3 linked regions of the Mytilus edulis genome follow. The protein of the gene in region 2 binds, or shares a complex with, the protein of the main gene of each other region. Links are inferred from orthologs where the notes say so. Each region holds a gene or a part of one and is shown on either strand. Other genes may lie near its edges.

Region 1 (11,026 bases), on a different chromosome or scaffold from region 2:
TTAATATCAGTTTTTTGTAAGGTGAAAAAAAAAATATGAATCTAAAAAATTCAACTCCATTATAAATTCTAAAGTGATAAAATTTGTTTCATTTTCATTTTCCCCAGTGTTTGTTTTTACTTTACCTAATTCATAGTCTGCAACATTATGTTGTAAAACTTCTGATACCTGGAGACCATTGACCATCAATGCTACAAGCTTCTGTTGTATATCAAAACCAGCAAATACATCTGTTACTACTGTACCAATATTGTTCTTTGGTATGGGTGTTCCTAACAGTAAAGACAATGTCGGTGCTAAATCAATTTGTTCTATTTCATGAACAGGAATATCTGTAAAAAAATATAATCATTTAAGTAATTAAATCATATATTTGTTATATCTTAGATTAACTATTGAATGAGTAAAATGAAAGAGCATAATTGCCTGTCCAAAGCCAGGAACCTTTTGCAGTCCATTGAGAAATACAGTCTGTTTAACAGATCTGTTTGGTCTCTTGTAGAGAGTTGTCTCATTTGCAATCATACCACATCTTTTTATTTTTATATATCTACTGTATTCACAATTGACATTTAGTATGGAAAATAAGTAATATTTTAAAATTTGAATGAAGCTTGCAATCAATTGTTGTTGTTACATTGCTGTCTTGTTGACATATATTCCCTTAAAAAAATTTCATACACATCAAATACAATTCCATCGATTGTTGAAAAAAGATAATAAACACATTGCCAGCTCTCTGTCAATACCTTTCTTTTTCTTCTGTGAACTGATTTCTCCTGTTCTAAGGAATATGACTGGTACCAATATCTCACTTTCAGTTGCTCCTCCATGTCCGCCCTGGTCACTCATACCATGATCACCACACACAATCACTAAACTGGGGACATCATTCTGGTAAAGAAATATTGTCAATAACTTTTTGCCCAAATGTTGAGAAACAAATTCAATTACTCAATAACTTTTAATTGTTTTCTTGATGGTAAATTCATGTGAAAAATATAACAGTTCCTAAGAAAAATGTGATGAAAATATTAGAAATAATAAATTCAGCAAACAGGAAATACTTATTGGACAGATCACACATTAGAACTCATTACTGTCAAGCTGCTGACCAAATATGGTCATTGTGTTTAGTTGTTTCTGAGAAAAAGTATGACATAGATACTTATTAGACAAACAATATGTTACAATATAATCCCAACTCTTAGAGTGGTTTTTTTTGCCACTGGACGTTAAGCAACCAACAACCAATCAATCATAGAGTGGGGGTTTAAAATATGAGATCAATTATTAAGATTACAGGAAACATTGTATACAAATAATGCTATAAAAATTAAATCGAAATTTTATTTTTAACATATCTATCCCTGTGCATTATTGCAATAATTAAACATATTGACAAGTAGAATAATTCTGAATTAACAATTATCTCGAAAGAAGTATTTATTGTAACCTACAGAAAACTAATAAAAAACATGTGTATATGCAAAAAAATGAAAACCTTTTGTGATCTTCAATCTTTCAAATAATATTTCAATAGATTGATTTTTATAGTATTTAAACAATACCTTACTCAATTCCTGATAAATGTTTCTGATAATATCATCCATTTCTTTTAGCTTTGGACCTATGAGTGGACTGAAGGGACCAGCTATATGTCCTATGTGGTCAAGCCCAAGATAGTGTAATACCATCATATCAAAATCAAGTTCAGAAAGCTCTTTTTCCAAGTGACGGGTCACATTATTATCAACCTGTAATCATGCAGATGAATTACATGTATTTAGACACAAAATCATACAACATATAGTCAAATATAAAGTCTGCTGTTAGCCATACCATTTTTGCCAATTATACACTTAGTATTAGTATGCATATAAACATTTGTTAAAAATTTTCATGATTAAACATTTCATATCCTTTACATATCAATTAATGGTTTTTTCAACAAATTAAAAAAAATATTACATTCCACTATATATATTTTTTTTATGTTCGTCAATGAAAATTTTCTATAATAATATATTTACTTTCTATTGTTATTTTGTGTTGTATAAAATCAATTGATGTAAATAGAAATTTACACAATGTAATTACAGTTGTTTTCCAGTGTTTAACTTATGCTGATTTTTAAATTTAACAAAGTTCTGCTAAATGGTGACATTGATAACATGCTATGGATAATAATGGAAATTTGTGTAAGTTGTGTAAGTTAATATCACTTAATAAATGATTACTCTAACCTCGGTATAGTCAGTTACAAAGAATGAAGTTGTCCCTTCATATCTGACAAAGTGGTCCGGGAATAGATTAAGCCATGTGTCATCACCATAAAATACCATCTTTTTCCCATGATGCTTCATTTGTGTCACAACATTGTCCTCTGTCAAGGATGAAGAACCAAAGTTCATAACTACATCTACAAACCCTGGGATACTGCCAGTTGTCAATGCCTACAAAACATGTTCAACATGCATGGATATACTATCATATGTAAACACATTAACCTTTGATGCTAAGTGGCATTCTTTAACTTTTCATTTGGAAGGAGATGTTAAAACACTTTCATGCCGAATGTATCCTTAAGGAAACATAAATTTCTATTTTTAGACGGTCACAGTGCAAACAGTAAAAATAACCTTTTGACATTTTTCTTGGCCCAGTTGTTCCATAGATATTATGATAAACACCGAATGCATTCGATATATAAGTATCGGGCGTAAAAAAGCGGTCAATTTTTTTTTTATTTTCGAAGATTGTTGAAAAAAAACCCATTCATTTTCCCCAACCCTAAATTTATCAAAACTGGGGTATGACATGTACATTATAACTTTTTCCTCAAATATCAAAGGGAGAAGTTTAATTCAGCTTGCTGTTGAATACTTTTGTTAACTGTCACTATGCAAAACAAAAATAGACATTACTTCACTTTAAAATCTTTCAAAAATATCATGCTCAACCAATCCAAGTCTTTCTAAAAGGCTATCAATGCAAAATTTCTTGGTATTGTTGGTTGAACTGGAAATGAGGGTGGGAATGATTTATGTTCTTTGTATCTTACTTCTTTAATGTTTAATATCCTGTAGGTTCTGAGTAGTACATGAAGTCTATCTTGGCTTTTTTAAGTCATCTCCATTCACTTTTGAAAGATCCTTTTTATGGCTTCACACTTAAATGATTTTACATTTAATTTTCTGACGGCACAGAATGATGGTACATTGCCAAGAAATTTTTAGCGGGTAAAGTTAAACCACTTTACACCATTCCCGACGCGATTGTGAGTAGTACCTCTGGCCAAAGGGAAGCCAGTCGAAGTGGTAAGGGTTTGGACACTTATGACGTCACATACAAGATGCAGTTTTTTTGTACTTCAGGGGTTCTAATTTTGTATACTTTGTCTCCTGATGATGCAATCTAATTTGGCGAAACATGTCGACAATAAAAGTTGCAGTTTATAACTTAAGTGTTTTCGTCAATGTAGAGGTATTTGATTTTTATCTGACAACCCTGCATACCATCTTGTATCTACTTACGGAAGCACAAAACATAGGTGTTGGTTCAGCAGTTCTTTATTTAATAATTTTTTATGGTAAAAGTCATTTGAATTCAATACTGTACAATTTAATTTTAGGAAATTGATTTGTATGTTTTGCATGCAAATTCCTTGTTGACATAATTATTCAAACGGTAGATAACTCTAGTCTACATTCCTGGAGTTAAATTGTACTTTTATTGAGTTAAAACGTCTATCATGTCTATGAGTATGGAATTTGCATAATTTCTTGTGCTTGAAATTTTTGATAAATTCCATGTTTATTTGGAAGTATAATGTTTTGAGCAGTTCATAACAATTCCCATACAATGTATTTTGTATCTATAGATAGTGTTGTGCCTGGCACAGTACATTCTACTAAAAATGTACTGTTTTCTTCTCAATAGAAAGTGGTGTGGTATGTACAAAATAAACATAGTATACAAAGTCCCTGGTCTCAATTAACTATCAATTTTAACTGTGATGTAAAACACACCTTTATTCTTGGTAATGTAACAGTTGGAGGTTTTACTATGGCCACAAATGAATTCATTCCATCTAATTCTTTTTTACTTTGAAGAAATGGCATCTGTTCACCTCCAGCAAAATCAACTCTTAGTGCATCAATTAACACAACAACTACTTTTTCATAGAGCATTTCTGAAAACATTTTTCTATACACATTTGATATCATAATATCATTTGAGTGCAACTTCTGAAAAACATTTTCATGTGAAGATGTGTCGTCCAATATTTTCTTCGGGGATATGAAACTCCTAAGAAAAACAGAATATGCTAGTAACGTGGAAAATATAATAATGGCAATAATGAATATTTTCATTTTTTTCTACATGGGCGCAGACATCTTGTTTTGATTTCTAGAGTTATTTCCCTTGCTCCTTAATTCCAGAAATTCTCTTTATCACTCAAAATCCTCAGTGAACTTCTGAGACAAAACATAGGTATAATATTAAATCCAAGAGTTAGATTCGAATTAAAAAAGCATAAAGTATCATCTTATTTACAACTAATATGAGGCAGGCATTACCTGTAAATGGGGACGAAGTCTGTATGAATTATTTTTTTGTAACTTAATTATTTGTCAAAAAAAAAAGAAACGGAAATACCGTAACGTTTCCGAGTTTGGTTCTGTTGTTAGGGATTTTAGTTGTGACGTTATTTAAATTATGACGTCATATGCAATGTAAACAAAGAAACGCTATCATTAGGTAACGTTTTTTTCATATCAAGGAATTATTAAAAATGAAATTGGTATTGCACGTTTCTTCCTATTTTATACTAGACTGATAAATATATATTTTACTCAAAGTTTCATACAAACGAGACCGGAAAAAGGAAGTATATTGTACATTTCTGCGCAGGTCCGGGATTCCAAAACATGACATAAAAAAAATTGAACGATTTTGAGTTCATTAGTACAATGAAAAATTCGGGAAATTTTCCCGAATTTTTTTTTTTTATTGAATTTTCTACTGTTATTGGGGACTTCGTCCCCATATTACTGTTATTGGCGAAAATTTTATGAGATTTGATAAGAAATGCTGATTTCATAATATAGACCTAACTATTTTATTTATTTCTCAAAGTTAATATCATAACTTGGACTAATACATTTATCTATTTGTCCAAGACTTAATTATATAGAATCATGAACCGGTAAATTCAATATCGTCCGCATGCAGTATAGGTCAGTATAGGTACTTGGGGACAGAACAATTGTTTTTGGCCCTCCCCCTTTTTTCCCAAAATCCGTAATTTATTCCCTAGTTCAATTATTTTTGCGTTTTTCTATCCACAACGGTCACTGATATACCTCATTTATGGGACAAACACTTCTATGAAGAATAATCTGACAATTCGATCATGCCACCGGCACGGTTCACTTTTCTGTACACATTATTGCAATATAACACTCATGAATTTTTATATGATAATACATGTTTATTTGCGCTTATGTTCATCATACGTTGATCCGTCACACCAAGGTCCAAGGGAAGGGTTGAGCGCTCACAAATGTGCTCTCCGTAATGCCGCATCAGGGGCGGATCCACTGAGCCATTTTAAAAGGTGGGGGTTCCAACTATATGTCCCCTTCAAATGCATTGATCGTCCAACAAAAATGGGGGTTCCAACCCCCGTAACCCTCCCCCTGGGTCCACCACTGGCCATATATAAAGCTTTCTATGCGGAACGGGCTTTGCTCATTGTATAAAGAAGGCCACACGGTGACATATAATTGTTAATTTCTGTGTCATTTGGTCTGTTGTGGAGTTGTCTCGTTGGCAATCATACCTCATCTTCTTTTTTATATGTCACATGTCGGGAGTCTGTAGTTTAATGGGGTTCGTTGTTTTATGTCTATCATTTTTGCTTATTTCGTTAATGATAGTTTTGTTATGAGTTAGGCCGATAACTGTTCTCCTAGAAGTGAATTATTTCACATTTTTCATGTGTGGTCTTTTATAACCGACTATACAGTATGGATTGCACTTTGGTGGTTTGATGTTTTTTTGCAATTATATCATATCTTATTTTTATATACATTTCACGAGATTTAGTTTCTGTCTATCATCTGTGGCGGATCCAGAAATTTGTGTAAAAAAGGGGGGCATTAATTGCCTAAGAGGGGACCGCCCTTGTCATGCATCAGTGATTCCCTAAATAATCAACCACAATTTTTACAACAAAAGGGGGCCAGGGCACCCTGACTCCCCTTAATTCGCCACTGATCATTGATTCTACAAAACCAAAATTATCCATTACTAAAATCTCTTCAGTTTTCGATCTAATATTGTTGATTTGAACATTATTTTCTCTATCGTCTATAGATTTTGCCCCAAAAGTACATGTCAGCGGGTAATCAATAAGTTACAAATAGACAACAGGCTGGCTTTTCTTTATTTTGAAGTCGTTTTCGTGCATGTTCTCGCTGCTTTCTTATTTATCAAGAACCATATCTACTGAACGGCAACTTTCGAAATCATCAATTTTAAACCATAGCTCCTTTTTGCCACCAGTAACAACTCTAATTAAAAAAAAATAATGGTTAAATAGTTTAAAAGTGACGACACGGAACCGACATGAAGTGAAATTTTTCTATAAATATCACATGATCATGGGCTTTCTCTTAATTTATAAAAATATTGTTATTGAATAATTTTCTTCGAGTTTCTTGTCCTTCCCTTATTCGCCAATAGCTTTTCTGTAAACACGAAACCTCTCTTTAGTACTTTTACCTATAACAGCATAGAGCAAGTGCATGTTAAGACAGCATCTCAATTTAAACAAAATCCAGATAAAAAACTGGAAGTGACACTGGAAGAAAAAAAATGAATTCACAGAACTACTTTACAACTAATATGGCAAAGTTAAATTAACAAATAAGAAACGCATGTAAAATTTAAAAAAAATCGCTCAATTCCATCTCTATCATCTTACTTTTCATGATCTCCATGATTCTGTGCATGCTGATTGATAACTAAATGCTCTAAAGAGCCTCTGCTATTTATTGGTAAAAATCCATTTTAAAGGGCAATAACTCTATAAAGAGATCTAAAGAGTTTTAAAACTTACAATTACAGACATATTTGTAGATCTTGTCCTGCTGATCGTTTTTTGCTTTGAAGTTTACATCTACATTTTTATCTATTTACACTTCTCAAAATAGTAGGTAGAAACTCTCCGAAAAAAATAAATCATAAAAACTTATTGAAGGGAATTACCTCCAAGAACGAGTCGACTACAATTTCCAATCAGGATGATAGAGGCACATGTCCGTCAGATTTTTGTTTACCAATTAACTATTAAAAGTCAATAGGTAAACAAATAAAGAGACGAGTGCCTGTGCATGATGGCTTAATTGAAAATATGGTATTGCTGATCATTTTTGCAATAAAAAGTTTGTTTTTATCTATTATATATGAAAAAAAGAAGATGTGGTTTGATTACCAATGAGACAACTCTCCACAAGAGACCAAAATGACACAGCAATTAACAACTATAGGTCAGCGTACGGCCTTCAACAATGAGCAAAGCCCATACCGCATAGTAAGCTATAAAAGGCCTTGAAATGACAATGTAAAACAATTAAAACGAGAAAACTTACAGCCTTATTTATTTACAGCTAGAGGCTCTTAAGAGCCTCTATTGCTCACCCGACTACTTGGGTTTTTGAAATCATTTAAAAAAAGATAAAATTTGGCTACAAAGTAACAACACTTTGCCAGCTCCTCATTAAGGAAGGAACATTTATGCTATGTTTGGTTTCATTCCATACAGTAGGTCTCTAAAAGAAGAAATTTGTATGTATTTCCCATAAGGTCCTATGTTTAACTAAGTCCCCCACTGGCGGCCATCTTGGACGTTGGATTGGCGACAAAGTAACAGCACTTGGTCAGCATCTCATTAGGTGCATTCATGCTGTTTGGTTTCATTCCATTCAGTGGTTCTCTAAAAGAAGTCATTTGTATGTATTTCCAATAGGGTCCTATGTTAAACTTAGTCCCCCGCTGGCAGCCATCTTGGATGGTGGATCGGCTACAAAGTAACAACACTTGGTCAGCACCTCATTAGGAACATTCATGCCATGTTTGGTTTCATTTCATTCAGTGGTTCTCTAGGAGAGGTTCAAAATGTAAAAAGTTAACGCCAACGACGGACGCCAAGTGATGAGAAAAGCGAACTTGGTCCTTCAGGCCAGGTGAGCTAAAAATAAACGAAAAACAAACATGCAACACATAAACAAACGACAACCACTGAATTACAGGCTCCTGTCTAGTTTTCAAAATAAAAGGGGGAAATGCAAAATAATGGTGAAAGTCGTCATAAAGGGCAATAACTTCAATAAGGGAGCTCGAGTCACCTGACGCCGTATTTCGGCCATGTTGAATTACAGATCTTGACTTCAGTGTTGATAACTTTTGCTTGTAAATTTTCTGTCCATCTTTTATAGTTTTCAAGTTTTTAAGATAAAATATTATCATTTAAGAGCAGTTACTCCAATAAGGAGTCGTCCGATTGTTTGAGTCATTTTTAACTATGTGTAGGTTATGTCTTGCTTATCATAGCTTTCAAAATCAAAAGGCTACAACTCCTATAAGTCTACCAACAATTTGACTGATATGTACAGTCACGATATCTCAACAATTTTCCCTGATCAGATTTTCTCTTGGTGGTTTTCAGGGCCGTAAATTGCCTGGCCTGTAAGGGGAGGCAGCCTGCCGAACGGAGCGACGCAAAAATTTTTTTTTTACCCATTTTATGCAGATGATATTTTTTCGGGCATTTTCCATGTATGCAATTTGACGTCCAACGGCTGTTTTGCCAGACAAGCTAGCTTGTCTGGCAAAACAGCCGCCCCAGCTTGTCTGGCAAAACAGCCGCTGGACGTCAGAGTAATCTCGGACTAGTATGAATGTTCCTTCACAGAATCCACCACTTGTTAGATTTTTGCTACATTTCATAAATAAGCGCCTTGAATATATTCAATCTAATTAAAACCCGATCTCTCATCGCTCCTGTTTCTGGCTCCCACGCGACATATCAGAAACAGGAGCGATGAAAGATCGGTTTTTAATTAGATTGGAATATATTGAATACAGTTATAAAACAAAGTTAGGGGAGGGTTGGGATCCCGCTAACATGTTTAACCCCGACACACTCTGTATGTGCCTGTCCCAAGTCAGGAGCCTGTAATTCAGTGGTTTTGGTTTGGTGATGTGTAACCTATTTGTTTTTCGTTCATTTGTTTGCACATAAATTAGGCCGGTTAGTTTTCCCGTTTGAATTGTTTTACATTTGTCATTTCCGGGCTTTTATACTTGACCATGCGGTATGGGCTTTGCTTATTGTTAAAGGCCGTACGGTGACCTATAGTTGTCTCATTGGCAATCATACTACATCTTCTTTTTTATTTATATTAGATTGGGTGTGCCGTTAAAGTAAGATTCTTTTTACGTCAGTACACCTTTCCTATATTGCCTAAGATTCTTTTTACGCTTCATCCTGCTTTATGACTCTTCACAAGCTATTTTTTCTTAGTTTAATAAGGGAAACAATTTGCAAACTTAAAATGAAAGCCAAATGTCATAGAAGTTAATAACTAGTCACTGTACTGCCTTCAACAAATCCATACCACATATTACCAAGGATTTGTTCCATATTCTTTAGCAATAAAGCACCGAACTTAAAGTTTTCACTGTAAGGAATTATTGTTTGTCAATTATATATTGATTGTAACAAGTGTATTAATTATATGGTGAAAGGATTGTTTAGATTTCAATGCTAGTGTACAGCACTATTGTTTGCCATTTCGTGGTCAGTTTTTTATGTGGAGGAAGGCACAATGTCTCGAGATAACACACCAGCTTTAGGAAGGAAAGCTGACTCTACTCTACATTGCTTATACTATTACTATAAGAAGGCAAATAACAATTTCACAAATGATGACCTATTTAAATCTCTTCTTGCTTATCATTTTGTTCCTGTCTGGAGTTTTAAAGACAAAGACTAAATCACACAAAATGGTAATAGTTATCAATGAAGGGCCTAAACAGATTAGGGCAACATCTCCTTTAAGAAGTTGACGAACATTTCTTTGTCACATAAGACTTATTCATAGATCTGTGCTTGCTGATAATTTCTTTAAAAGTTGCCTAATAAATGGGCAAAAGCCCAAAAATCTTCAACCCCAATAAACCAATAAGGAGTTGTCCATGTCTCAAAGGTAATTTTCGTGATCTGAAGTTTTTATTGTAATTTTTAAGAAGTTACTGTTAGTAAATTAGAAAATATTGACAAAACTTATCATTCCTTTAATAAATGGAGAATGTGTCCATGGGCCACATATGATGCCCCCACTTGCATATCATATAAAGGGACATAACAGAAGAACAGAAAAAAGATATGCTACCAAAATTTGTACTTGATCCGAGTTGTGGTAATTAGCATTGTGTAAAAGTTTCGTTAAATTTAATTGCAGCTAACTTAAGTTAGAAACAGAAATGAGAAATTCAGCTTTTTTTCATTTGTAAAGGGGCATAACTCTAGAACAGTTAAAGTGACACCACCAAAATTCAATTTTGATCTGTATTTTGTGGCAATAAATACTGTGTTCGAGTTTTATAGGAAATCCTGAATATGCATGAAATATTTGTTTTTAAACATCACTTTTAAAGAATCAACAGATAAACCGGTTTATAAATATGCAAGATGAAGTACATGAAATTTAATGGTGAAATGACCAATTCAGCAATTGTTTTCATTTCTACATGTAAAGGGACTAGACTCAGCACAGTAAAAACACCAAACAAGTTCGATTGGTGTGTGGTGCCAGGCTGCTTTCAAGTTTCATAAAACTTGATGGTGGCATACTAAAGTAAGTGAACAGCAAGCATTTCAGGACCTGCAGATGGACAAAAACATACCTTTATGCTGTCACTTATGAGGGGGGTTCCATAAAAGCCCATCAAT
Region 2 (11,217 bases):
GGGTAATTGTAATTGTAATCTTTAATCAGCTGTAATTGATTACAATTTTTCAAGTAATCATTGTAATCATTAATCAGCCAAAAATTTGATTACATGTAATTTAATTTAATCAATTACTTTTCAAAATGCCCTGTAATCCTAATTACATTTTGATTACAATGAAAAAAATCTTGAACTGTGTTTATGGTCAATAATGAACCTTTTGTTATTCTAATTTAGTAGATATTTAACAAGTTAAGATAGTTTGGTTTACTTTATCAAGCATGTTAATTGATTTGTATACTTCAGTAAAAAATAAACTTACAATATTAAAAAAGTCATCATTAGCCTAAGAAGGCCTTAGTAAAAGATATTGTACATGTATTCACAATTTAAAGATGTACATATATATATATTTGATAAAAAAAAAACTGTTATATTTAAGCAATATTATATTTTTCTTTAACCCTGAATTATAATCTTTTGTTAATATTGTTATTATTGTAAACTTTCAGTTGACAGGTAGGAAACCAATTAAGGTTTGTTTTTATTGCAATTTCCAATTGAGTATAGCTGTAGGACAATATATATGATAAAAAATTAATCAGACATGAGAAAATTCATCTAATTAGCACAAACTAAATTAAAAGTTGGACAAATATCTTGTTTAATATACGCAAATTTGTGTATGTACTTGGACTGGACATGTAAATTGCATTGACTTATAGAACTTGTATTTTGTTTACAATTTGTTTAAACAATTCTATTGATTTTTATCATAATTTTTATCTGTTAACTTTATTTCATCCATATTTTAACTTCTGAAAACTGCACCTTGAAATACATATAAAGTCTGGAAGAGGTCAGAATACAAACAGCAAACTCTTTATAAAGCCATATTCAATTGAAGTCAAAATGATTCAGAGATCAATGATGATAAAGTGTAATTGGTGACACAATGTTCATGTATGTCATGTATGTCTGTAGTGAACTTTTGTGGTTTATTAAATAGATGAAGTTTGAAGTTATCATTTTAAAATATATAAAACAAAATTCTTTCTAAAAAGAACTAACATTATATTAAACATTAATTCATTCTCATCATTCAAAACGTTTTTTTTTTAATTTATTGTAATCAGATGTAATCATGATTACTTTGCCAATGTAATCATTAATTTAATCAGACACTTTCAGAAATGAAGTAATCATTAATTTAATTTAATCGTACAAATGACAAAGTAATTGTAATTTAATCAATTACATTGAAAGTAATCGGACCCATCTCTGGTCACAACCTACATGACCTACGGTTTTATTTTCTTCTACATATATCTGAATAACCAACAGAAATCTTATTTCTAAGTGAAGAAGTTGATAGTATTTGTAGAAGTGTATTTTAACAAATAGCAGTTTTCATTCTAACTATACCAAAGTAAAATGGTTCATTGATGAATAAAAGAAAATACCTGTTTTGTGCAAATATTCTGATCCATTGCACTGTATTGGTGCCCATTACACACAGAGCTGGTACTACAACTGTAGCTGACATGGTCATACCAAAGTGAAATGTCTCTGCTGAGGATCTAATAATGCAAGGTAATACATGTAATCATTAAATGTTAAAACTGTACTCAGTTAATGACAAATGTCAACTTGGTTTTTCTATCAATAAAAATTTGTCTTCTCTCATTTGATTCTGATGTTGAGAGATTAGTGAATATGGGGTTTATGCCAATGTGATGGTTGATATTTTTAAGACTCGGCATACAACTACCTGTCATAGGTAAATGCTACCAAGAAAATGGTCATAGATATTAAATTGTAAAATTTAAATTCATAATGTTTATACTGGCTATATTATAAAAAGAAAGTTTCATTTAACAGGAATATCTATCATGTCTATATTATCATTATGTTCTATTTCCAGTCAATTTTTATCCCATAAAAAAACATTGAAATATTAGCAGCACAAAGACTTTATAAATCAGATTATAAATAAATGTGAATTGTTATTTATTCTGATTGTATAAATGTGAATTGTTATTTATTCTGATTGTATAAATGTGAATTGTTACTTATTCTGATTGTATAAATGTGAATTGTTATTTATCAGATGGTTTGAATCTTTTTGTCTTAATAGTGAATATTGAATCTACATGTACATGTACCATGTGTACCTGTCTTATCAAATGTTGATGAACATATTTGTTTATAAGTAATTTTTGCTGCTAAGGGTAGTCTAATATACACTGTACTCACTCTAAGAATGGTGCACCGAATAAAACTGCTATTACATGAAAAAATATTGATGAACAAAATAACAGTGATCCATTCTTCAAAATGATTCTTATCTGAAATAAAAAGTATATGTTTAAATACAAGTTCCATTAAAATATAAACATTAAAGATGAACATTGATAATATGAAAAATTACATATGCATGTAGTAACTATTTTACTAATCTTTTACTAACCAACATGATCAATCATGTCAATGGGAACAGTTATCCCTCTATCATAGATGGGAGGCTTTCATGAAGATTTTCTTAAAAAATTTAAACATGTTAAAAGGCCTCAAACGCTATAACAAAGAAAATTGAGACAATATGGGTTTTCTTAGTTTGCAGTCCCTTACCATAGATCAAATTTTTAAAATTTAATTATAAAAAGCTGTGTGGTTAGTTGAGTGGCAGCAAATACTGATTTTAAAAACGTTTGGGTTGATATTTCTGTCAATATTATAGTATTTCTTGCACAAACTGTGACAAAGCAGGGTACATTTTTATATCATGTCAACTTGTAAGTAATATTTGCCATTGGTTGGTCCAACCACTATACATGTATCTTTCAAGACTGTTCCAGCCTCCAGGACTTTTTGTGTAGACATGTAGAAGTTAGAGTCGTTCTGAACACCAATCAGGTGACACTGCACTCACTCTAAGAATGATGCACCAAATAAAACTGCTATAACATAAACATAACCCATACCTTGGGGTGGAGCTAGACAGCTAGCTCAATTGGAACCATCACATTACCTCTCAAATGTTTTTGTTAAAAGAAATTTATATACATGTAGATGTCCTCAGGAAATTTAACAACATGCTTACATGTAAATTGCTCTGATAAGACCACACCTGGAATACAGTAGTTCAGTATGGGACCCCTATTGGAAGAAGGACATAAAAGTATAGAAATGGTACAACACAAGAACTACAACTACCAACCCGGCTCTATGACCGCAATTATACAACCTTTGAATCAACCTACTCCTGATACTAGAAAAACAACAAATCGCTTAAAATTATTTCAGAAAATACTGTACCACCAAGTAGCCACTGAAATTCTCAAATACTACAGTACACACTGGGACATGGTCTGAAAAATACCACATCAACAACAAGAAAACACGTCATAGCCACACAGACAGCATCATGCAGCCACAATGCAACATCTCAGAAAACAAATTCAGCTTTTTCCCTGTAACAAACCGGAACTGGAACCATTTACCAGGAAACATCACAACTTACACCGACTTGAACACTTGAATGACTTTCAAGGAAAAGCCCTGGTCACACTTCCATCCTGAGACCAGAGACACAGTGATGCTCTAAAGATCTTCCATGTTTTCATCCAGCACTGATCACAATTTTAAACTTGTATAAATTTATTTCCTTTTCGGTTTTGTCAGGTTTGATGATCACAACTTGTACAGCACCTGCACTTAATGACACAGCATTAGGGACGACATCAAAAGATCGATGTAGGATAAAAAACTTAAATCGAATAGTTTGGGGGTGGGGGGTCAACATTGCTGCAAGTTTTGTTAATCTAAAATCGATTTTACATATATGCATATAGGTAAATCAATTTTTCCTAAATTAAGTTAAGAAGGGGGGTAGGGGTCAGCAAAAAATCTATGTGAATTAAGTTTTTAATCCTACATTGAACTTTTGATGTCATCCCTTAGCTTGATGGTATTTTTCCGTTGCTGGTTAACGAAAGAAGAGGTAGTACACATAATTGACAACTTCCTGTGAATTATGACATCTTGAAAGAGCTTCTTTTTTTTTTAATCTTAATTATTTGGACTATATAGTAGTATAGAGAAAAGCCTTTCAAAAGGAGACAAAGCTAACCAGGTACCAATTATAATTTTTTATCAGAAATTTCTTAGGAAAAAGGGAAGGTCTGTGTTTGATACATGCCAGTGATTATTTCATACATTCTTACTTTCGATAGTATCCCTGCATTCCTTTGAGATGTACCTCCATGGATATTCATAAAATTGTAAAGAATGATATTGAATACGCTGATGAACAATATAAATAGTTTTGTGACAATAAAGCGATATTTGACTATACTAAACAGATTTTCATTGTTTATGCTAAAGAATAATAACATCAATGTACTAATAGAGAATATAAGATGTCCTTTTAGCAAGGAATTGAGAGTTTCTTTCGCTGGCAAACGATTTGCCATGGGGGCAGACATCTTTGTTTACGATCCGATTGCTTCCCTTTGAAGAGTTCCGGTTTCTGTCAAAACAAATACACGCGAGCGTCAGTTGTTCATGTCAATACACATCTTCACGTTTCAGAGAAAAGACGTTGAAAAGGGGAATATTTTTTGTCAATTAGGTATTTATATTGCATTAATCATACACAATAGTTCTTTAAAGCTAAAATATTCGGTTAGAGGTGCCACGCCCCCTCCTACAGTCAGCTTACAAATTTTGGACATCTGTTTTCGTTCTCATAAATGCAACCTAAGAAAAGAACGTGAGAGCTGATTGTCTCTGGATAAACAACCTGAGTGCAAAATCATGAAGAATTTTGTAGGGCCAATAATGAGGGTTGATGACGAATAATGGTAAAAAATATTGCCAAATATCATTAACAGTAATTTTCGGTGCCGGTGGATAAAGTGTACACTTTCTTTTAGACGATAAAAAAAAGACTAATTAAGATGAATCACATAAACAATTTGATGCTAACAGTAGCTTAAAATGATTATGTTTCAATGTTCGATAAAATGTTTTCCCTGAAATAACCCAAGATCAACCACAGCAGTTCCCTAATAGATACAAATCAGAATGTTGTGTACCTTTGACTCAAGTTTAGTCATGGATTCCAGGAGATATTGGGTATACATCACAATGAGACACCAATCCAACAAAATACGATATTTGTAGAAGTCAAAAAATGAGGTTATCATACAAATGTACATTATATCATGGTAATTTTTGTGATCTTTTATTTACAGGTATACAAATGTGTGACAGTCTAACTACAATAGATGAGCTACCAAATGAAATTCTTCTTGTGATATTTAGCTACTGTAATGTAGATTCATTGAACAATTCTTCGTTGGTTTGTAAGAGATGGAATATTGTGATTGGTCAATCAGATATTTTATGGAAGGAGCTATGTTCTTCATTACATGAAACCAGGAGGCTGATACAAGTAGACAGGGAGCTTGGTAGATCATGGCAGGTAATAATTTACAAAGAAAGGCTTTTTAAAAATGTATAAGATACCAGAAGTACATTACATAGTAATGGTCTTCTGAAGATATACTGAAAATGAACAATTAATGAAGTTATAATTCAAGCACTAAAATCACACTTATCAAATTCATATATTTTCATTTTTTTGCCAGTATGTACAGTTCCTCATATTTTTTTTTCAGGAAACATTTAAGATGAATTACAAAACTAATGACATAAAGAAGAAATGGAAGAAAGGAGATTTTAGTAATCCAAAAAATTACCAAGAACTGGCACCAAAACCAGTTTGTAAAATGGACGATGAGAGCTGGGGCGAAATATTCCAGATGGAACTGGATCGTTGTTGATTCATATTTTCCCATTTATCTAAGATATCAGCAGCTGAAAAAAAAGAATAAATATGAACAGCTTACTAAAAGGATTTAAAAAAGACTGAAACTGATAACTACCAATGACAATTTCATTTCTTAATGTTTTAAATACTCTAAGGCCAAAAAGTGCAGATGATAGGTCTAATTTTGACAATTATTTGGTTCTCAATTAAAAAAAATGTTTTAAGGTAAAAATATAAACAGAAATATAATGTACTGCAGAAGTTTAAATATTTTTCTTTATAAGGTCAGGACTATTAAAATGACATGTACAAAAATATTTTTGTCTCACTGTTGAAGACTTAATTTATTTTACCAATCTATTATAGGGCAGCTTGAATATATTTTCGTTATATTGTTAAGGTTTTTATGTAATTTTTTTATTTACGATATTTTATGTTTATGTTTTTGTTTATTTAATTCATAACAAGTTTTAAGATTTAGTTTTATTTGCAAGTTGTTTTCTCTGTAGATGTACAGAATATATGTTTGTTGTTTTCATATCGAAGTAAATGAGATATATATCAACACCTTAAAAGCAGTCAATATTGTTCATATTGATGAAGAATATTGTTAAAAATGCTTAGACTGAACATAAATTACTTAAATTCCATATTGGTGTACCTAACTATTTTAAACAGAGTTTAAACAATACCAATACATGTTTTTCATGGTATATTTAAATTTGTTTTCAACAGTTATGTCTCTATATAACAGATATTAAGACAAAATTTAGATTTATGTTCTACAAAGCATCTTTGCCAATTCTCAAAGATACAGACAAAAATATTTGATTTCATCATTTATCAAGACATGTAATTTGCAAAGGGAGATAATTTCTACCAAATTGTGTTCAATTCAGGGGGAGATAATTTAACAAAATATTTACATTGTATTCAGAAAACATGAAAGATTAAAACATATATTTTTTTTTATCATTTTCTGAAAATAATTTTATGGAATAAATAACCATATGGTTGATTTCTATTGGTGATTTTTTGCTTTATTTTAACACCCTCCTTAAGTATGAGATTTATACAATTTGGAACATTTCGTTCAGTCATTTTGTACATTTGATTGACCAAAAACATATTAAATTTAGAGACTTTTTGGAGATACTGGCTATCATTGTATATATACAGGTATATGTAGACGTATATTTATAGACATTTTGTCCTACACATTTTTTTTACCATCTTGCAGGATGTTTTTTTTATTTAGAAAAAAATCATTCTCATTACACACAGAGTTTGGCCCAAAAAAATCTGTTTTTGTGTTGATTGAATCATTATGCAGTAGATTTTTTTTTTTTTATCAGGTCTGGAACTTGATTTTAAAAGAGTGATTGTTTTATTGCTTTGATTGTTTATGAATGTATATTGTTTGATGTGTTAATTTATTAATGTTTTATAACATTGATTGTTGTAGAGTATTTTCTCAACTGTGCTCATCACAGGCTGTGCTTGTAAATAAATAAAATCATTTTATAATAATTTTTATTATTTCTCATCCATGTAACCAACTTTTTACATTCTAACAACTGGTTTATACACCACATTGTAATAATTAGCACACTTCATGATCAAAATGTGTTTGTAATAATACCTGTTATGCACTCAAATTAAAATGCAGAATTCAATGTCACAAATGTTTCTCTAAATACATACCATTGTGCATAGAGAACATTTGGTTTACTGGTTCTCAAGCCTTCATTGGTTGAAATTCATGACTTATGTTTACAATTTTCATTTGCCATTGCACCAAAAAGTGGACTATGAGTGATTGTAACACACAGAAAAACACAAAATTGTTGTTACCCTTCTGAGATAAAAGATATTTAAGGATGTACTTAGGTGAAATTTGAAAAATTAAGAAATTTAATTTGATACTACATTTTGAAAGAGCACCAGTTAAGGAACAAAATAAGCTAAAAATATTGATAGATAATGGACCTACTTTTTGAGATATTTGAGTTTTAAAAAAAGGCGGGAAAAGGCTGACTCGGACTTTTACCTTATATTTGCATTGGTTTTATTTGGGTCACAAATTGAAAGAACAAAAATTAAGAAATTGCTTAAATTTTGGAAAATGGCCTTTTATGACCTATTGAAGACTTTAATACAGAGAAAAATGGGTGTTATGGGGCAATTTTTTTTACCCTAGATTGATGGAAAAATACCAAGGAGTCCGAACATTTTACCCCAATTTCTAAACCTCACCTTAGTACATCCTTAAGTCTAAAATTTTGTTCTATTGTTAAACAAATCATTATAGACTGGACAAAGCAATATATATACAAATCAAATTACACCATTAGAAAGCTATCTATTGTTTAAGACTAACAGTAATGATTGTAAAAAACATATAATGAATATTGACAAATCATAAAAGTAAAGGAATGTATCTGTATACTTAAATAATTCCACAAAAACTATTAAATAATATACTATTACCTAAAAAATAAAATAAAATGGAAAATTATGCAAAAATTGGTATGAACAAATGTTGACAAAATATTATATTTGGTTCATATTAAAAGGTGAAGATTACTATGGAAGATGTGAGTTAAACGACAATGAAACTATTACCAAACAACATAAAGTAACACAAAGTTATAAGTAAAACATTTAAAGGTCTATTCATGGTCTTCAATATTCAGCTGGCTTTTGAAACCTGACTGATAGGAGATATGTTTGAATTCTGAAAACTTATAGCAATGTATCTAGTTTATAAAGAACATTACGAGACAGTAACAGCCAGTGATATATATCCTAGTCATCGCATTAAAACAAATAGTGTTTACATCAACGAATCAAATCATCACCCTTATGTGTAAAATATTATGATTTTTTAGGCCCCACCTACAATAGTGGAGGGGCATTATGTTTTCTGGTCTGTGCGTCCGTTCGTCCGTCTGTTTAATTGTCTGTTCGTTTGTCTGTCCGTCTGTCCCGCTTCAGGTTAAAGTTTTTTATCAAGGTAGTTTTTGATGTGAGTTAAATGACAACGAAACTATCACCCAACAACATAAAGTAACAAAAAGTTATAAGTAAAACATTTAAAGGTCTATTCATGCTCTTCAATATTCAGCTGGCTTTTGAAACATATAGTCAGCTTTCAATAGTCCATTTTCATTTTACCAACTATCGACTCCGGAATTAATATTTTTTCAACAAGTTACCTTTTCTGTGGTAGGACATCTTGTTACTTGGTTAAGCAAGAGCAATATAAATAAGTAAATTAAAGATTTTAATCGTTTAAATTTTTCTGTATATGATTAAATCATTGGACAATAGTAAATTTCCCTCAAAATTGCACAGATTATATATTTGATTTTACTTTGTTTGGTTGCTCCTAATTGACAGAGTACCAGGATGACCTACCACAGAACTGGGAGTCAAAAGTCAAAAGTCAGTAATATGAAAAATAAAAAATGGTCAATTGCATAGAGATTCAACAAGTTGTTAATACAATAGTACAAAAATATGAGATGTGGTATTACTTAGAGACAACTATCCACCAAATACAAAGGATGTTTAAAACAACTGCATGTTACAGTATAGTCATTAACTATAAGCAAAACTCTATACTATAGATAGCTAAAAGGAGGCTCCAGTATTATAACAAAATGTGTAAAATGTTCAAAAGAGAAAACTATGGTCTAAATATAAATTTAATTACTATAACAACAGATGACTACTCTGACAACCACTGGAATACATACTCCTGGCATACAAAGGCACATAAAGAATATGGTGGGGTTAAATAAATTGTGACAATATGTTTGTTTGCTCTAAACTCTTTCCCTAACCTGGGACTGGTGAAACAGCAAAATAGAACAAACAACAAAATCAGCTAAAAAGGAATTGACTGATCAGAGATATGTTTGAATTCTGAAAACTTATAGCAATGTATCTAGTTTCTAAAGAACATTACGAGACAGTAACAGCCAGTGATATATATCCTAGTCATCGCATTAAAACAAATACTGGTAGTGTTTACATCATGGAATCAAATCATCAACCTTATGTGTAAAATATGATTTTTTTATGCCCCACCTACGATAGTAGAGGGGCATTATGTTTTTTGGTATGTGCGTCGGTTCGTTTGTCTGTCAGTCTGTCCCGCTTCAGGTTTAAGTTTTTGGTCAAGGTAGTTTTTGATGAAGTTAAGTCCAATCAACTTATAACTTAGTACAAATGTTCCTCAAAAAAACATTTTTCTAATTTAATGCCAAATTAAAGTTTTGATCCCAATTTCACGGTCTACAGAAAATGATAGTGCAAAGTTCAGGTTAAAGTTTTAATTAAAGTTTTTGGTCAAGGTAGTTTTTGATGAAGTTGAAGTCACATCAACTGGAAACTTAGTACACATGTTCCCTATGATATGATCTTTCTAATTTTAAATCCAAATTAGAGTTTGACCCCAATTTCACAGTCCAATGAACATCGAAAATGATAGTGGGAGTGGGGCATCCGTGTACTATGTAACTATTGTTTGTATCTTAAATAATTATTACAGCAACATTTGGAATTTAGACTCTATATAAACATGATAAAATTCAATCATATATGTATTGACAAAACAAGAAAACTTGAAAATTTACAATATCTCAGTCTCAAGTTTTAAACTTACAAAAGTCAAAATATATTAGGCTATACAAAATATGACAAAGAAGTATATAATATTTAAAAGATAATAAATGGCACAAAAAGTTTTAGGTAGTTTTATGTAAGACAAAGCATGTTCTTGTAAAAGATGAATCATTGATTGCTTTTTCTAGAACTCAAATTCTTTGTCAGTCTGGCATAAAATACACAATGATTAAATAAATAAAGCACTTAAAGCAACTAAAATGGCCAAAAAACAAAGCACAGTATCAGTAAATTAAGAGTATGATCCAGGTTATTTTATTGATCAATATTAAGAAAGAACTTTAGTAAATTGAAAACCTTCAAAGAACAAATACTTCTTTCTCTTTTACAGCAAAATGTTAACACTTCAGTCTCAGAAACATTGTTAAACTTTTCCCAAATATTAGTTCAGATTGTAAAGTCTATTCTATCTGCTTTCACATTAGTATATGAAAAGATGTCAGTTGTTCATACTGTCAATGTACCTCTATAACACTTTAATATATATTTTCTAATACAACCTTTCATTGGATAGAATTGTACATAAATTATAAAATTAACCTATTAAAAGCCATGTGCTATCTGGTTTTGGATTGATGTGTATATGGTAATAAGTCTTTCATTGGAAATCCATGTAAAACTAATAAAATAATCAACATTGCTATAAATGGTGTCACTAATAACCACTGTAAGTCTTCCATGATTAAACGATTAAATCTGAAAATATA
Region 3 (11,411 bases), on a different chromosome or scaffold from region 2:
AACAACTTGAAAGATTTGTATAGTCTTAATATACAAATCCTTGGTTGAAATATTAAGTTGTAAATATTGCACAAACGTAAGTTTGGAGAGACAGAAATGGTACGACACACAAAAAATCTTCATAAACTTTGATCTTTGGTGCCTGTTAATGTCTATTTGTTAATACCTTATGAAACATGATCAAGTCTTTGTTTCCATCCAGTAAACAGTTGATGTTGTCGAGTCCATCATTATGGAGAACGGACCTTGTTCCGCCACTGCTGAACCACATTATAACGGATTTTATAGCCTTTTCTAAACCTCCACATTGTAGAGATACTGGTATTGTAATATCAGCTGCAAGAAAAGAGGGACGAAAGATACCAAAGGGACAGTCAAACTCATAAATCTAAAACAAACTGACAACGCCATGGCTAAAAATGAAAAAGACAAACAGAAAAAACAATAGTACACACGACACAACATAGAAAAGAATAAACAACACGAACCCCTTTAACTTTAAAGAAGGTTGACAATTTTCAAATATGATGCAATGTATTAATTTATGGTATATTTTTTATGTTGTCACATTATATATATAAAAAGAAGATGTGTTATGTTTGCCAATGAGACAACTCTCCACAAGAGACCAAAGGGACACAGAAATTAACAACTATAGTTCACCGTACGGCCTTCAACAGTGAGCAAAGCCCATGCCGCATAGTCAGCTATAAAAGGTCCCGAAATGACAATGTAAAACAATTCAAACGAGAAAACTAACGGCCTTATTTATATAAGAAAAAATGAACGAAAAACAAATATGTTATACTCACATACGAGAAAAACATTATTTGTATGAAAGTTATTAAAAATACTATCTATATATAGCCTACATTTGTATCTTTATGTCAGAACCATATGAGGGATGCTGTGTCCTATGATAACTGGGCAGTCATGATGGAATAACTGTCTAAGACTGAATATTGTGAAAAGATTATCATACTAAAATACACAATATAAGTTCATTCTTACAAAAAAAAAGGTTCATTCTAAAATACCTTTCATTTCTGTTGCTACGTCATGAACCATGTATACATTTGATTGGTTGTATATCTGAAGGAACTTTGACATGGGCATTGTGTAAGCCTGACCATTACGGTCCTCTTTCTTCCCTCCTTCCACGTCCACAAAAAGGCTTCCATATTCCTTGCTACAATACGTTAGATTAAGATGTATGTACATTGAAATCGCAATTGAGATATGGGTCATTATAAAAAAAACATGCAAAACTATGTTATTGGGTCTTTATAAGTCACAGACATGAAAATATATCAAAATAACACTTGCATATGTTAGATATGAATGTTTTGTGATACACAATATACTGTTTACAGTATGAAATGTTATAAAAACATCCTTAATGTTTTCTTAAACCCTTGAAGATAGCCAGAATTAACTGTTATTTTTTACTATAAATCCTTTCAGACTTGAAATAGGACTATTATTCATATCATTTGTTATTATGATTTATCACTTTTTATTGCATTTTGATACATACAAACATTTTTTAATGATTTTGGGAGGTGTATGTTGGTTTTATAATAACAATTTTTACCAAAAGGAAATGTAACATTTTTTAAGTCAATGGTGTTACCAAAGGACAAATTAGTAGAATAAGAGTTATCTTTCGCAAGATTTGGGCATTTGCAACAGTTTCTCCCTTAGCAATGGTACCTGTAAGCATGTTATGCAAAAGAAAACAAACAATTATGTTGAAGATTTAGTGAAAAAATCGTAAAAGTAAGTAAAGGTTATATCGTAATTGGAAATAGTGTCCATGGTGTACCCTTTATAAAAATCATTTTTTGAAAACATTTCCTTAACTTTGAATAATGAAACATATTGATTATAGAAACCAGTAAAAACATATAGAATAGGGGAATGGAGCACTTATTTCGTAACTGAATCTTAAAATACACCTTAAATCATTGGTGTTACTGTCAATGGTGAGACCATTATGATAAAATAACACCATTGACCAGTTTAGTAACACCACTGAATATATCATGACAATCAGCATTGTTTTGTGTTTTTTTCATGTTTAACAAGCTAAACATCATATTATTTATGAAAAACAATACTTATTCAACAATGTTTTAACAATATCATGTATTACATATACACAGTTTTCACAAACTGATGTATGCTGGTAACACCAATGACACTATTTAGTAACACTATTGACATTTTTAGTAATGGATGTTATATTATATAATTTGAGATTTTTTAGCCTAAGAATTATTTTTTTATCTTTTTCTTTTGCTCGGTGATCTTGGCTTTGTGTTCAGTACTTGATAAAGGTAAAATTTGAAATGTGATGTCATTGGTGATACTTTTGTGCCATTGGAGTTACTGAAGGGTCAGTGGTGTTACTATATAAAAATGAGACATTTTTTTTAAATCTTTATTCATAAATGAAAGTGTTTTTAGGTCGAGTACGAAGGATTAGGTATATCATTATCATTTAACCTTATACAATTCACATATATTCAGTTTAAGTGTATTTTTTAGTATTTACAACGGCCATAATTAGGACAGCCAACTTCCTGAAATTTATGTTTAAATAGAATGCACAGCTATATGAATAATGTCAATAAGTCGTAATTTAAACCTAAACAACAAATTGGAACAGTATTTGATGTTAAACAATAATATTTAGTACCTAAATGTATGCTTTAAATTTGTAATGTTCACCATTGACACGATTATTTCAAAGGACGACCTAAAATTGTTAAAATTGAAGAAACTCTTCATTTTTCCCATTGCATATTTTTGAATATCGTTGCTACCATACTATAGAATAGCGGGACACATTTAAAAGTTTTAAACAATGACATAATTTTTCAAAATATTACCTCGTCGAAATTTGCACTTTTTTTGATAATGACCCATATGCTTAACTAAAGCACTTTAACACCCGATCAGTGCATAACCACATGTGCTTATAGGGCATACAATCATGTGGAAAATAAGAATCGAGGAAAAGCATATTTATTAAAGAATTTTATTGTACTATCGTATGGATAACAACAAGAAGACACCAACATTGTCTATTTGATATAAGATTTTAAGAAATTTTGAAAAAAATAATGTTTGTATTTGTCCTATGCCTTTACTGACATTTGTTATACTTTAGTTATTGGATACAAATTAGGCCACAGCTAAATAGTTTTACTGGATTCGCATCCGTACTCGTTTTAAACTCGTGTTTTAAACTCATGTCCTTCGGGATGGGCAAGCATAGTTAGGGTAAATACTGAAATAGATTATAATATTAAGACTCTATTGATCTAGAAATAGACAATCAATATGACACCATGTAATGTTGGTAATTGGTTGGGTAGAAACGGACATTACAAAAATTTTTGTTCATATTTATTTCAGTTTTTTTTCAAATTGAAAAGAATATTCTGCATGGTTCTGGAAACATTTTCTATTGTTGATTTTTCAACCAAGACTTCTCTTGACAAGCGGCCAGTGAGTATAGATGTGTCAGAAAAAAATGTAACAGCTAATCACTAGCCTAGTTTGGTTATCATTTAGTTGTTCGTAAAATTCAATCGATTTAGGCAATTGTCGGTGTTCTGCTAAGCTTGTGGAATGAATATAAAAGGTAACACACAAAAGTACAGTGACTGCTTGTTGCTGTCTTCAAAACTTCACGTGGCAAATATTTCATGCATGTCCAAGACACCAAAGAATAGAGCCAGTAATAATAAAATTCCTGGCATTGTGCCAGTCATGATATTTTTCATGGAAGTGTGCTAGTCGTGATACTATTCTTGGAACTGAGATAGTAAAAAAAATACTCTTTGAACTGTTTCAGTCATGATAATTCCTCATGGAACAGTAGTCAATAGTGTCATTCATGACAATTCCTAATGGAACAGTGCCAGAGTCACAATCACCTTCCTTGGCCTTTCTCTTTCTATTCAAAGCAAGTTTCATAAAACCAAGCAAGTCAAAATAAAATGCCTGGAATTCTGCAAGAAGTTTCTTGGAACTGTGGCAGTCACAATAACGTTCCTGGAACTTTGCCACTCACAGCGAGTTTCCGGAAAATGTGCCAGTCACAATAAAATTACTGGAACAGTACCAAACACAAGAAGATTCCTTACGTGGATCAAAAACAAGTTCCGGGGTAAAACTAGTTGTGTGAGTATTCGACTCCTACGCTATAATCTTGACGAGAATCTGATATGGTCAAAAATGACAAAAACAAAATTTTAGCTAATTTCAGATTCTTTATATTTAGCCCCAAGTTGTCTTCTTGTCTATTTTTCCAACATTTCTCCGTACTTTCTTTTTTTTTTTTTTTTTAATTTTCTATGTTGTTAACCCCCGTCCTTCAGGACCACAACATTAATTATAGTTATAACGGTATAACTAATTGGTGTTTTCCTTATATATATCCGCATTTTTTATGTATGTTCTGTACAGATATAGGTCGATTTCATTGGGTTTTTTTCATACCTTTTTCCATCAATATTTTTTGATAAAAAAACATTAATTTGTAAAAAAAACCCTTATCACGTCTTTTTATTTGATCTATTAAACTTCGTTTATAGAAGTGCATGTTTTCTTAGCTAGTGCATGTTTTATTCCTACAATGGTCTTTCCATATAAACAATAGAACATACATTCAATGTATAGGATTTATGCAGAGTTACACAGTTTGGTAAATGAATTTTTAATTTGAATGAGACACAGATCCCACTGATATATGTTTTACTTGTTATACAGTTTTCTAATTGATTATTGATTGGATAAACATATAGTACATATAAACAGTACATACTCTAAGTATTGGTCAGTCCATAACTTGTATGCTGGAAATTGTCCGTTTTCTAGAACACCTTTCACAATAAACGGTACACTTTTGGCAATGTAATTTTCATAAAAGTCTGTAGGAGATGGGAATTCCTTCAATAATGTAACTCCTCCAAGAGATTTTCTATGGTGACCAAGAGGCTTTAAATGTCCAGGTATATTTTCACACGCGGTAAAGGATAAGAACGTGAAATAAGATGACAAGAAATAAACAAAGTTATATTTTCCAACATGGAATACTGCCATATTGAAAATATTAGAAACAACCCGGTAAAATCGACTGCATACGTATCCTGTTACAAATTAATGTACTAGTATATTACAAAAAATCCCCTTCAACATGTTCAACGCATATATTTATTATTTCTAACATAGTCAATACCTAGAAATGTATCTAAAATATAACTTTGACACGTGTCTGTATAATATTATTATGTTTTACATATTTGTCAGCAAGCTTGTTAATTATTTTGTTTTGTATCATGATCGTTTTTTTCCTGATTAGTGTAGACATTTAGATCATATATTTGAAATAAACTATACATATGTCCTTCGGTTCCGTTTGTACTAACTTACGTGCATGTACGTACAGGATGTATATATATTAAAGTATATATGTTGATAAATCATGCATATTATAGTTACAAAGTGAAGTACGTTGCATCAAAATCCGAGATCCTTAGATGTCAGTTTAAAGTAATATCAAACCTCAAATTACAAAATAATGATGCATATTTTGTTTAATAATTAAAAGGACAGTTTTCATTATAACACTTATGTACAAAACCTTTTTTTGAAGAAAGTTCTTTTATTTGTTAACATTTAGAAGAAGTTTACTTTATTCTTATTGCTTGCTTCCAGCTAGGAAGATCTAGGAAGCAATTCGTCGACATATTTTCCGTATGCAAGTGACCTTTAAGTTAGCCGTTAACCCCTCTCGTAAAAAATTCGTAGATCGTAATATGGATCTGTCATTAAAATAAACTCTTATCTGATTGTCTACATGTTATACACGTGCTCAAAATCCATGCTCCTTTGTTGATTGTTTACTATAAGGTGACAATTGGTAAACTACGACTTCAAAACACGACAATTAAGTAGCTGTCCTATTTTCACATCAAAACAGACAGTAAGAAAATGATAAAACCGTGCTCAGAAGACTTAGTTTATGATTTACATGCATTGGTTGAAGAATTGGATAATCATTATGTTTCACCAGTCACTCGTTTCATCATGATGACTTTAACGTTTCCCTCTTTCAAACTATGATGTCAAATGTCAGCTATGAAACTTTATATAAATGGTGATTAGGTGGGTTTTAGATTTTAGCAAATCCAAAAGCAAATGGTTAAAAACCTTTGAAAATTAAAGACCAATATAATGTTATGGTTTCGATTCATGTTTCTTATTCATAAATTTTAAACTGTTTGAATAAAATGTTAGTGCAACTACACATATGAATTTTAAAAAATAAATAAATAAAAGAGTTTTGGGAATCAAACTGGCACATCAATATATCAAAACAGAACTACGTACGCAGTGTTAGCAATCCTGGCTATCCTTGAACCATTATTAACTCGTAGGTGCTTAACGAGCTTGACTACGCACAGGGTCGAACGGTCGAAATAAAAAGAAATTCAACTACTGTAAGCCGCTATCTTTTATTGTACAAAATATCGAAAACAATCTGTCAACTTAGTGAGCGGTTCATTTCTCTGTGAAATATGCAAATTTGGATAGCGGAATGCATTCATATATGATTTGTAAAACCTTCATTTTAATAGCGAAAATTTTATGTTTTATCTAATTATTATTTCTGATTTTACAAATACCGTGAAACATCTTTTAATAGATTAATTTTGTTTCTTCAAACTTTAGCCTTGTAAGGAGAGGTAACTCACGATTGTCAGACTAACTTTTAAAGAGGAATATGTAAATAAATTATTTGGTACTATTAGATAATTGTATTAGTCCCAGAGTCATTTGACATGCCTTGTTTTCAAGAAGAAAAACGAATCGCGTAATCTCATTTTATTTTCTAAAAGCACACAATTAGAGCTATGTTTAGTTTTTGTTTTAATATAATTCTACACAGCTGGTTCACACACAGAGTTTTTTCCTTGTATAACTTTTACAAAATCTGTTGAGATGCTGTCAGGTTATCCAGTAGAGGTGCTTGTCACATGAGCTGCTGATGTTTTTTGATAAAAAGTTCCGTTAGACTATTAGAATTTTTATATAAATTTATAAGATTGCTAGAACTTCTGAAATTTTGCAAGTTGTCGCATAACGTTATATGCGCATGATTTTTTTTAAATGATCGATGTTTCTGGTCATGTCTTTTAATCGATATATTTCTCATTTATATGTGATCATCTGTTTATATTCTTTTGTTATTTTCTTTAATAACCGGAAATTTGACGAATGCTGAACCGAAAAAGTTTTTTTTATTATTTCCGTTTGGTAACTTCCGTAAAACCGGCGAAAATGTGAAGAAATTTTTTAGGAAAAAAATGGGACAAAACTTTAAATGCTTTTTCCTTTTATGCTTTCTAATCTTACTTTACGTTTGTGGGTTGCTTATGTTTGCAAAAGGATTTCTTTTGAAGAGAGTGGTTGTAGAAAGAAACAGTACCTGTAAAGTTGACTTTGCCATGCAAAGTGACATGCACGGAGAAAAGGGTTGTTGGATGCATGTCCGTTATAAGAAGGCTATTATAATCGTAATAGACGCATTACGATATGATTTCGCTTCATTTGACCCCACAGCAAATGATTCTATTCCATACAAAAATAGGTTAACTTTTATTAAAAATTCTCTGATGAAACCAAACAATGCAAAACTTTACAAATTTATAGCCGACCCACCTACGACGACACTACAGAGATTGAAAGGACTGACTACGGGAAGTCTTCCCACATTTGTTGATGCTGGATCTAATTTTGCTAGCTCTGAAATAACAGAGGATAATTTTATAGATCAGTTAATTGGCCACAACAAAAGAATAAAATTTCTTGGTGATGACACTTGGATTGGACTGTTCCCTAACAGATTTGATAAACAGTTTCCATTTCCATCATTTAATGTGAAAGATTTACATACAGTTGATGATGGTGTCTTAAAACACCTGTTCAAAGAACAGAGCAAGAATGACTGGGAAGTGTTGGTTGCTCATTTTCTTGGTGTTGATCATTGTGGTCATCGATATGGTCCAAACCATCCAGCTATGAGAGACAAATTGTCTCAAATGAATGATATGATTAGGTAATACAATGTACACCTCCAGATCTGCAAATATTTTTATTATCCTGCTTTTACATGCAACATGTGCAATGTATATATTGATTGTATTAATAATATGAGACAGGTGTTACCTGTGAAAGGGGACGAAGTCCATATCAATTACATATTTTAATATTCAGAAGAAATGGAATTACAGTAACAAATCAGATTTTGGTTCTGTTGTTACTCAAAGTCTCATGACAAACGAGGCTGGAAGAAAGACAGAAAGAGTTTTCTGCGCAAATGCGTGAAAATGAAAAAGTTACAAAAAAAAGTTAACGATTTTGAATGTTCATTAGCACATTGGAAATTATTTTTTTAATTTTTTTTATTGATTTTTCTACTGTTATAGGGGACTTTGTCCCCTTATTAACATGATTACAATGTTTTATGATCATAAATCAGATTGGGTTACCCAAATGTTGCAAAGCACCTGCCACCTGCCATACCTCTATGACAAATATGTTGTGTCCCTGCATACAAATGTTCTAAATAATTTTGTTATTGTGTGTAAATATCTTGTCTTTCCAAATTTTTTGCCTCTAGCATGTCTAGCAAATGTTGTGACCTGAGACCCATCATTACTTGTCATGCTTGTGTTTGTCTTCTATCAATTTATCATATGAAAAGTTAACATTATTTGTTAAATAATAGCAACCTGTTTTATCCTTTGCTACAATGTAGCATGTCATTGATTTTTATACTGAAAGTAATTCTGATTCTTTTAACTTAATAATGCATTTTTTTGTAAATCTGTTTTAAAGGAATGTGACAAGGTTGATGAAAGATGACACAATATTATTTGTGATGGGTGATCATGGGATGACTAAAACAGGAGACCATGGCGGAGACAGTAAAGATGAATTAGAAGCAGCGTTATTTGTGTATAGTCCTGCACAGATAACCAGCCAACATAATCTATGGGTAATACCTCAGTTAAGACAAGAAAAAATGCTGTGATTTCTTTTACCAACCTTTAAATTGTTCAGAATTTCATGGTTCATTCAATAGTATAAATTGGGCTTTCATGCATATGGCTTTGAAAATAACTACTAATTCTCTAAGAATGGTACATTGTGTCCTTTTGTCATTTGTGCTTAGTATTTGTCTAATAAGTTGATTCCTTTCCAATTAGATTCCAATTTGTACAGTTTGCTCTTGTGTTGTGTTGTATTTCAGTTGCTGTTGATTAGATTTGGTTTCATTTTTAATTTTTTTTTCTTCAAATTTTGAGTGTAATTCTATAAAGGAAATTTATATTCTATTTTCTATAAATCTCAAGATTTTCCTTCATCTACTCAAATGTTTTAACAAAATATGCTTTGTAGACTAGTTCTAGGTCATCTTTCATTGGTGGAATAAGAGAATTAAAAAGAAGAGCATATTAATAAAGAATGCTTTATAAATATAAAAAAGAAGATATGATATGATTGCCAATGAGACAACTCTCGATAAGAGACCAAATGACACAGAAATTAACAGCTTTAGGTCACTGTACAACCTTCAACAATCAGCAACGCCCATACCACATAGACAGCTATAAAAGGCCCCAAAATCACAAATATAGAACAATTCACACAACAAATCTAACAGGCTCATTAATATTAAAAAAATGAACAACTAAAACTAATATGTTACACAGCAACAAATGACAACCACTGAATTACAAGGGACTGACATAAGAACAAACTAATTGAAATGTAGGGGGGTAAGTTAGTTTGTAAAATGTAAATTATTACTCATTACAAATGCTTGAAGACAATAATATGGCATCTGGTAAAAAATTGGTTGCTGCTTCGACAGAATCATAATTAGCCAAAAAATAAATTTGAGTATGACTTTTCATCTTACTTTCCCTATGAACATGATGAAGATACAAAAATGATTGCTAATACTTGTACTTTGATGTTGTAGAAAGAAAGGGACACAATTTCCCAAATAGATTTTGTACCAACCATCTCTCTGCTATTAGGTATACCAATACCATTCTCTAACCTAGGCCAGGTGATAGAGGAACTATTTACACATTGTCCATGGTGGCAAACTAGCAGTGACATCAAGAAGGTAATTATGAACAAAACAGAAGTACATGTATATGATATATATCACTTTGTAAAAATTACTAAAACCACAAGTCAACAATAAAATAATAAACTGTTGTGACATAGAGATATGTGTTGCCTGTGTGATTTTTTTTTTGTACCGATACAACCTACATGTATGTAGGAAACAGCAAGCCTGCATCTTGCTTTGGCCATGCTAGCGACTTTAGTTCCAGTTGAGACAAAGACATGTAGGAGTGATCAAATGTACATTGCATAATATGCTTGGATACACATACTAAGGCTATTATAATCGTGATAGAGGAACTATTTACACATTGTCCATGGTGGCAAACTAGCAGTGACATCAAGAAGGTAATTATGAACAAAACAGAAGTACATGTATATGATATATATCACTTTGTAAAAATTACTAAAACCACAAGTCAACAATAAAATAATAAACTGTTGTGACATAGAGATATGTGTTGCCTGTGTGATTTTTTTTTTTGTACCGATACAACCTACATGTATGTAGGAAACAGCAAGCCTGCATCTTGCTTTGGCCATGCTAGCGACTTTAGTTCCAGTTGAGACAAAGACATGTAGGAGTGATCAAATGTACATTGCATAATATGCTTGGATACACATACTAAGAACTTAAAAGTTATTAATCTTGAACAGTGAGTCAGAAATTTGTACTTACATGAAACTAAAGATACAATAAATTGTTACATACATATATAGTTCAATCAGTTGTGGATATGGTGATACAGATATTGTCTTTATTCTAGTGATTCCATCCTGCTTACAATTTAGCTGTAGTTTGAGTATGACTATGAGTGTTTATTAAGAAAAGCAAAACCTTAATTTAATTTCCATACAGTAATTTGATAGTGTTGGTTACAACAGAAGTTATTAATACATATATTATTTCTCAAAAACAAATTTCATTTTATGTCTGTACAATGTAAGTCACAAAGTTGGTTTCAGTTCTCTAACTTAAGTTTGACTAAACCAAATATTATGAATTTTATACACAATGCTTATTACCACAAATTTAAAACACAGATCATGTTTAAACTTTGATGGCGTAACTTTTACCGTTCTAGAGTTATGCCCCTTTACAAATTGAAAAATTGCCCAGGTTTTTTGGTTTTCATTCTCTAACTTAAGTTTGCCTTTATTAAGTGAAATGAAATTTATACACAATGCTT

The links.
Region 1: phosphatidylinositol-glycan biosynthesis class F protein-like (region 2) and GPI ethanolamine phosphate transferase 2-like share a complex: the UniProt entries of both Homo sapiens proteins name them as parts of the ethanolamine phosphate transferase 2 complex. The link is inferred for Mytilus edulis from reciprocal best matches to the Homo sapiens genes PIGF and PIGG.
Region 3: phosphatidylinositol-glycan biosynthesis class F protein-like (region 2) and GPI ethanolamine phosphate transferase 3-like share a complex: the UniProt entries of both Homo sapiens proteins name them as parts of the ethanolamine phosphate transferase 3 complex. The link is inferred for Mytilus edulis from reciprocal best matches to the Homo sapiens genes PIGF and PIGO.

The regions. Positions count from the first base shown.
Region 1 is NC_092344.1:91,763,419-91,774,444, reverse strand, and holds the start of GPI ethanolamine phosphate transferase 2-like, read right to left. Parts: upstream 4,429-11,026; 5' UTR 4,377-4,428; coding exon 4,032-4,376; intron 2,457-4,031; coding exon 2,247-2,456; intron 1,758-2,246; coding exon 1,572-1,757; intron 895-1,571; coding exon 750-894; intron 333-749; coding exon 126-332; intron 1-125.
Region 2 is NC_092346.1:8,627,319-8,638,535, reverse strand, and holds the start of phosphatidylinositol-glycan biosynthesis class F protein-like, read right to left. Parts: upstream 4,504-11,217; 5' UTR 4,470-4,503; coding exon 4,209-4,469; intron 2,331-4,208; coding exon 2,239-2,330; intron 1,563-2,238; coding exon 1,446-1,562; intron 1-1,445. Other genes in the region: F-box only protein 48-like, read left to right, coding at 4,549-4,615, 5,241-5,470, 5,667-5,831; uncharacterized protein, read right to left, coding at 11,068-11,206.
Region 3 is NC_092347.1:92,505,420-92,516,830, forward strand, and holds the start of GPI ethanolamine phosphate transferase 3-like, read left to right. Parts: upstream 1-7,327; 5' UTR 7,328-7,382; coding exon 7,383-8,134; intron 8,135-8,916; coding exon 8,917-9,076; intron 9,077-10,066; coding exon 10,067-10,216; intron 10,217-11,411. Other genes in the region: bifunctional peptidase and arginyl-hydroxylase JMJD5-like, read right to left, coding at 167-336, 1,038-1,189, 4,838-5,115.